Linked DNA regions of Arabidopsis thaliana. Changing the gene in region 2 together with the main gene of any one other region gives a genetic interaction. Each region holds a gene or a part of one and is shown on either strand. Other genes may lie near its edges. The genes, in order: RAC10 and CSN5A.

Evidence for each region.
Region 1: of CSN5A (region 2) and RAC10, a change in one rescues a mutant of the other (synthetic rescue), as found in Arabidopsis thaliana (one study listed by BioGRID).

The regions. Positions count from the first base shown.
Region 1 is NC_003076.8:25,235,230-25,239,161, reverse strand, and holds the start of RAC10 (RAC-like 10), read right to left. Parts: upstream 2,200-3,932; 5' UTR 1,927-2,199; coding exon 1,822-1,926; intron 1,362-1,821; coding exon 1,274-1,361; intron 1,130-1,273; coding exon 1,020-1,129; intron 912-1,019; coding exon 848-911; intron 758-847; coding exon 693-757; intron 600-692; coding exon 534-599; coding exon of another isoform or gene 463-533; coding exon 350-462; intron 260-349; coding exon 223-259; 3' UTR 1-222. UniProt on the Arabidopsis thaliana protein: Involved in local disassembly of cortical microtubules when associated with ICR5 and KIN13A.
Region 2 is NC_003070.9:8,110,144-8,114,075, forward strand, and holds the start of CSN5A (COP9 signalosome 5A), read right to left. Parts: upstream 1,919-3,932; 5' UTR 1,753-1,918; coding exon 1,363-1,752; intron 1,236-1,362; coding exon 954-1,235; intron 868-953; coding exon 720-867; intron 617-719; coding exon 531-616; intron 5-530; coding exon 1-4. UniProt on the Arabidopsis thaliana protein: Probable protease subunit of the COP9 signalosome complex (CSN), a complex involved in various cellular and developmental processes such as photomorphogenesis and auxin and jasmonate responses.

The DNA.
Region 1 (3,932 bases), on a different chromosome or scaffold from region 2:
AATGGCTAATATATTGCAATAACAGGTTTGAAACAAATAAACACAATTGAATTAATAATAAGCTCTCTACCTCCCCCTCTTTCTCTCTTCAAGGTAACTATTGATTGATTAGAGGCTAATAATCTCTTACATGATTCAATCTATATAATATAAAGTCTCTCGTTTATCACACAATCTCAAAAGTGGAGTTTAAAATCATCAGACTGAGTTGGGTCATCGTCATCAATGCCGAGTCACTATCCTCCCACACAGAACATTTCTGCACATACAAAATAAACACAAAGGTGAAATCAGTACCCTTCATAAGATTGTAGATGCAGAGTTTGTAAAGATTTGTATATATACTCACGATAAACAGCCGTGATTCGACTTTTGCTTCTTCTTCTTCTTAGTCTTCTCCTTTTGTTTAACCAGAGGTTTGATCACTTCCTTTATCGCAGAATCAAAAACTGCTTTCACATTCTGCAATATATAAACTTCATCGCTTTGTTAATCCGAAGAAAAGAGTAACATAAAGAAGCTGCCTCATATACCTGTTGAGTTTTTGAACTACACTCAATGTAATACGTCGCACCAATTAGCTTACGCAACTCCTCTCCCTATCAGATAGAAATGTTCATTTAGTTAATACCATCAAGCCTTATAGTGGAATTATATGAAATCTAAAGTAAAAAGGCTCTTTAAGACTAAACCTGTGCAGTAGTTACAGGGGATAGTCCAGGATGATCAGCCAAATAATGCTTATCTTCACGAAGATCTACACCAGTGTTGTAAGAATCATTAGCTATGAATTGTAACTAAACGGTTAAGAGGAATCTGTTGGTAAATGCTCATCGGTTATTCTTACCTAATTTGGTACCAACAAGGACAAGGGGAACTCCTGGAGCAAAGTGTTGGAGTTCAGGGATCCACTGACTCAATAAGAACAGTCATATAACATTAGAAATGACTCATTCTGACACTATAAGAGTCTTATCGTTTTCAACAATTAGAGAAAAGGATCATTTATTCAATCAGACCTTTTTAAAAACATTCTCGTAGCTAGCTCGGCTGACTAATGAGAAAGACAAGACGAAAACATCTGCTCCCCTGTAACTTAAAGGCCTTAATCTGTTATAGTCTTCTTGCCCTGCAAACAAAGGATATACATATGTAACCTCATATGAGACAAAGCTATTCAATGGATCTCATTTATCAACCAAATGAAAGAACTAGACCAATAAGAATGTTATAAACCACTATAGGATTCAAGACTCAGAAAGAGTGTTCATACCAGCAGTGTCCCAAAGCCCCAAATTGACAGTGGTGCCTTCAACAACAACATTTGCACTAAAGTTGTCAAAAACTGTTGGTATGTAGTCCTGTTACAAACAATTCATCAAATCAATACACAGTTTCAAACTTTCAATCATCAAATCAAGCATATATACATATAATAATAATAATAATAGCAATGAAGAAAAAGTCTGACGAATCCAGACTCCAGAGGATGTTAAATGAAAAAAGATAACATAAAGCTGGACTATACACAAAAGCTGCAAAAACCCAGATGCGCCACACATACTTATGAAAAGTAAAAAAAATCAAAATCTCCAAAAATGGATCTTATATCATGCACAGTTCCTAGGAAAAAGGAGCTAACTTTGACATACCCAGATAGATTCTAAGAACCTTTATGGCAATAAGAAGCTGAAATTTAGTAGACCCAGATACTGAAATTGATTAAAATTTTGTAAAATTTGAGCTAAATCTGATAAATCCAGATGAGATTCCTGATCAAAATTCAAGAGAGAAAGAGAGGTCTTTTTAAAGAGAACTTACAGTGGGGAATTTATTGCTGGTGTAGCAGATGAGCATACAGGTTTTACCAACAGCACCATCACCAACAGTCACACACTTGATGAACTTTGAAGCACTTGAAGCCATTTTGATCTCAAAACAAACATACAAAGCAAATACCAAAAGGAAGCAAAAGAAATAGAGAGAGAGAGAGAGATAAATGAAGTGAGATTACTTAAAAAGAGGAGTAAAAGATAAATAAACCCTCTTTAGAGCATAGAAGAAGGTAGGGTTTGTTGCATAAATTTATGGCTTTTTTTTCTGTTCCTTTTTTACTTTTTTCTGTTTGTTTTTTCAATATTTCCAATTAGATAAACGAAATTGTTTATTGGTATTTGGTGGCTTGTTTTTGGTTTGAACTTGAAGATAGAGAAAGAGCGGTGATGACTCACATGATCCATCGTCCAAGCTTTCCTTTTCCAAATTCTTGTAGTTCATTTATTACTCCAACGAGCAAATTTGCATTGGAATTTGTTAACCAAATCTTGGTGGTTCAATCTTGTTTTTTTTTTTTTAAGTGTTTATTACACTTGTATTGGATTGTAAGAAAATGAAATAATGTGTATTACATACAAGTATGGCGTTACGAATCGAATTATAAGAGAAGGTAGATATTCGTCAAGTTAATAATAGTGTCACGTTGAGCCACACAGTGACAAGTGAAGATGGATATACCATATTTGTATACATTAACATGTACTGTCGAATACATGTTTTGCTATTTTTGTTTTTCTCTCGAGACTTACATATCATATAATGTATATAGCATAACTTACAAGCTAGGGTTACAAAATATATAAAATAATAGAATATCATAGCAACAAAAATTTATAGCAAAATCACTAAGACCAACCTTTCAACATTACTTATATCACAATTCACAAGTGTAAAACTGATAATTCTAAAATTGTAATTTTAGTTTAGGATATTCATTTATTATATTAGGATATATGGATTTTTTTATGTGGACCTACTTTTAAAAAAACTTATCATCTAATTTAATTTACTCAAGATATTTAAAATTGCCAACAAGAGTTTCGTTGGCAACAACCAGCAATAAAAATTCTCAATATTCACAAAGCAACTTTTAATACAGTTATTAAAAATTGAATACTCTTACCAAATAGTTCCTTTTTGTTTGTTTATGGATATAATTGCAGACTCATGGTTTAGAAAGTAAAAGTGTTTTTGTCATGTGTTTAAATAATCATTTATAGGTGGATGTTGGAGCCAAACTGTGTGAACATCTACCAAAAGCAGAAGATAAATGATTTTATTTTATAAGGTAAGTTAATTATTGGAGTAATACCTACGACTATATCGACGGCGACGCAACCACCATAAATATGAAAATGCAAAAGTATTGTTAACTAGAGAGGTCTTCAAAAGGACGACCACGGGAACTTATCGCTCTCTGGTCCAATATTTTAGTATTTTGCAAGTTATTTCCACCAAAAGCTCCAAAATACAAGTACAAATTAAAGTAGCTGATTAATAATACAATACAATGACAAAAGTATGGCCTAAACCAGATAAATATAGAGACTAGTAAGAACGAAAATCGCAAAAGGAGACTAGTAATCACATTAAACTAAATCAATATATGTGTATGTGTGTACAAGTGAATCCATAACTTTTGGTCTCTAAGGAAGACATGTAACAGGAGCATATGTCGTGCTGGTGTAAGGATAGCGTCATTGAAAAGAAACAAGAACAAACGATAAATATATATTTCCACAACAGTTGATGCGCGTAAAAGCAAAACGTGATTAACAGTGGAAATTATCCATAAAGTGAAAAAGACTTGAAGATCACAAATCCGAGTTTTGGCAGTAAGAAATATGGTTATTGGATTTGAAGTTGGGTTAATATTGAAAAAGTAAAAGTTTTTTCGAATATATCATATGAACTCAACAAACAAATGCAACGGGCCCGACAACTCAATATATGGGCCACATCCGAAACGAGCCGACCCACGTAATGGAAGTCCCTTGCCAGGTCACGTGTTTTCTCCCTCTTTGTTCCTATCGGTCCCTTCTTTTATTGTTTTCTTTAATTTGCTGTTTCTTTTGGTCTTATGAATTTTGAACCAT
Region 2 (3,932 bases):
CATCCTGAAAGTGGTCCACAACACATATACTTAGGTAATGTAATCTCCAAAACAAATGTTTTTATGTAAAGAAGATTAAAACAATATCAAAATGAGTCACACAGCCAGAGATAACAGAACTCTAGGAAGCAGACATAGACTATTGGCAACAACTCGTTGACAAATTGATACATCAAAGTCTCCCTGTTTTACTAGTTCAAACTTTAATAGCTCTGTATATTTTTGACTAAACATACACTCAATTGTGAAATTTCAAACCCAGAAAAGGTAAAACATAGTGTTTTGCAGGTAGAGTTTCTATTAGTCAATATCCAGTCAACATAATGCCTAAGAATAAAAAGTTCAAATTTAATCCAAGTTGCTAGATGTTGATAGTAGCAGTTAATTAGCCAAATGAAAAGTTTCTACACAGGAACAAGCTTGAAAAGTGGCAAGTGTATGAGCTCAAGATCATGGTCCAGTATCTCAGACAGTCAATAAACATTGAGAACATAACAAATAATTTTGCTAAAGCAACCATTTAGACAAACCTCTTTCCTCCTTTGGTGACCGGCTGGCGCAATTCCTCCATACCGGGAGTTAGCGAGCTGACTCTCCGCTTGCTCGAGCTTCTCAGCTTCATCATGTAAACAATTAAATGGTAAGAAAAGAGGATATATCAAACTACGACCTGGATGAAAAGTAAATTAACTTGCTCTTTCATATATACAAGAATTTACCCAAGTCTGATATTTGCCCGGCAACATAGTCTCCATTGCCCAACAGTGGGGAAGAAGAAAGAGTGTTCACCCAGTACTTGTTCCAAAGGAGATCCAGAAGGTGACTATCGAGAGATGACTTGAAATAAGTGATGTCCAATGAGTAGTACTGCCACATACAAAAAAAATGAATCATAAGATCGATGATTAAAACCCTCCCAAGTTTTAAAATCGATAAATAAGAATTATACATACCTGTTTGCAATGTACACCAAAGTCCTCAATCTTGTTAAGAGGGATAGTCTGATACTCAGAAACATGATCATCCGAGATCTTATGTCCCTCTGGATATGTTCTGAATGCCCCAATCTCAACCTTACCAGCCGAAACAGTCCTTGTTGGATCAATAACAACAGCTAAGAATGGCTCCTGATACTGTTGGTTAAGCATCTGTGTCGAAACATCAATACCCGAGAGCCAACATCCATACCCAGGGTGAGAGTGATACCATCCAACAACGTTCTCCAACCTCCCAGCCTATAGTTCAAAGTTACAGTCATAACCAATCAATCAAACACTCGCAAAATCTTGCATAAAGGATCCAAGTAGCAACTAGCTAATTAAACAAGGAGCTACAGCGAGAGATGAATAAGAGATATCTTACCAGCTTGCTGGTCTGAGAGTATTCAACCATATACTCATAGGCATCAGACTGAGCATTAACCCTAGTCTCAGTACCTTCAACAGGCAAAGCAAAAGCATCCATAACGATGATTGTATCACCCTCGGTTTTACCCTGCATAAGACCCATGATCTCGATTGTGCCACCGGAGCGAGCGTGAACCACCATCTTGAGAAGAGCAAGGGCTGAGATGTGAACGCGCTTGAAGTAGTTAGGATCGGAGGCCCATGGCTTCTCCTGCTGGATTTTGGCTTGTGAAGCGTCGTCGTAGTGGAATATACTGTCGGAGGCTGAATCGGTTGGTTCCACTGGGAGAATGTTGTTCTCTAGCTCCCATGTCTTCCTCGCGATGGCTGACGAGGAACCTTCCATTGAAATCGACTTCGAAGAGTAGAATAAATCTAGGGTTTTGCTTAATCGCGAGAATTGATTTGAGGGTTTGAGTCAGAAAGAAAGAAGAAGGCAAACAAATAGAGAGAGATCTTTGGGTTCTTGGGTTAAACCGGTTTGCGAGAACAAAACTCAAAATGGATTTACTTAATATGGGATTTGGGGACTAATGCTAATCCAAAACATTAACCATATAAAATTTTTATGGAAATTTAATATTGTACATTTTTTATTAAATATTTTTCCCTTTTTATTTTTAGTTTGTTTAACTTTTATAGAAATCAATGTTGGCAAATCAAAGGATAAATTCCAGTCATTGTATCAACCAATTGGTATAGAAATCAATGTTGGCAACACATAGATTTGGCATACAATATCTTAAATCACAAAGCGTAAAAGAAGAGTAATGCATCTCATGCATATTTCTTGAGATATCCACACATGCATAATTTCACCAATGTAGTAAGCTTATTTTGATAGCATGTTCAACTTATATATTGTGTGAATTATGCTTGACTTTATGGCATAGACGTTGATCTTTAGCTATAAAGTCAAGCTTTTGTCTTCTCATTCTATCATCGATCAAAGCATCTAAATCACTTTCCTCTCTTTTCTTCTCTTGTTTGTGTCAGAACTCAGAGAGTATAACATAAGGTTAGCTTTCGATCAGTTTTTTATTTTGAGTGTTGCGAATCAAAAGAAAAATTAGTTTTAGCATTAGACCTAAATATTTGTACAAGGACACAGTGTAATATTTGTAAAGCAATTAACATAGAACAAATAATGAAACACAACAATACTATAAAGATGTTTTGAGTTAAGGAGAGAGATCATCAAAGTGCTTGCTTAAATTTCTACCGTGTTGTTGTGTTTCATTACTTGCTTAAATGCTTAATGATAACTGCTTTAAAAATATTAGATTGTCTTCATGTACCAACATTCAGGTCCTACATCCAAAATATTATACAAGACAAAGAATTCACTACAATATAAATACGCTAAAATTTAAGAGCAGCCTCAATTATATGCATATACTAAGATTATGGCCGCCCCTGCTATGCTGATACAAAATAAATGCCAAATTACATCATATATCAAAATATTTTGGCAAAATAAAACATAATTGCCTTTAGTTGGATTTTGAAAAAAAAAATGGAAGATCTTCTGAGTTTGTGAGAAAGAAGAGCAATAAAGAAGAAGTTAATGCATCTGTTTGACTGTTACAATTACTTATAAAAAAAAAAGTGGAAGAAAGTTTAGAGGAGAGGATACATTTTGAGATCATGGGGAAGGAGTGGTTGCTAACAAAGTGGTAATAGAATTAGATTACGTGAAAGTATAAAAGTAAAATTTGAAAGTTTTGTGACATGTGGTAAATGTTGCTGTTTTTGAAAGTGTTGTCCCATTTGAAAGTTTTGTCACATTCGGTAAAATTTGAAAGTTTTGTTACATGCAGTTTTGAAAGTTTTGTCACATTCGGTAAAATTTGAAAGTTTTGTTACATGCAGTTTTTGTTAAAATGACGGTTAATTTAGAGGGGGGTGGGAGGGGGAGGGTAAGTAGTTATATGATTTTGATGATTTTGTAGAAGTGTATTCAATCTAGTATTTTAAGTGATTTGTGTAAAATTTATCAATCATGGATTTTAAAAACTCTATTAAAATCAAGTGTTATTGAACTAACGATTTTAAAATTTACTTTTAAATCAACTGTTATTGAAAACAAATCTCATGATTGTAGATGGAATTTGAAAAGATTGTACAATTAATCACATCAACTTTCTTAAAATTATAGAAATCTTTTCAAATTCTATCTAAAACCATGAGATTTGAATTTGTGTATTTGTAACTAAAGAAGTTTTCTCAAATCTTTCAAGATGAATAAGAATCAACTCCACAAACTGTTTTCAATAACAATTGATTTTAAAGTTAATTTTTAAATTATTAGTTTAATAACATTGGATTTCATTAAAGTTTTTAAAATCTATAATTAAATAACATAAAGTTTGTAAATTTTACACAAATAATTTAAACTACTAGATTAAATACACATCCTTTAGTATATATAGATTTGAGAAAGTGGATAACATTTTTTTTGTTGATGTCTAGCTTGAAACAATTCATACGCCCTCAGTTTCTATATCTTTATAAACTTGGTACAAT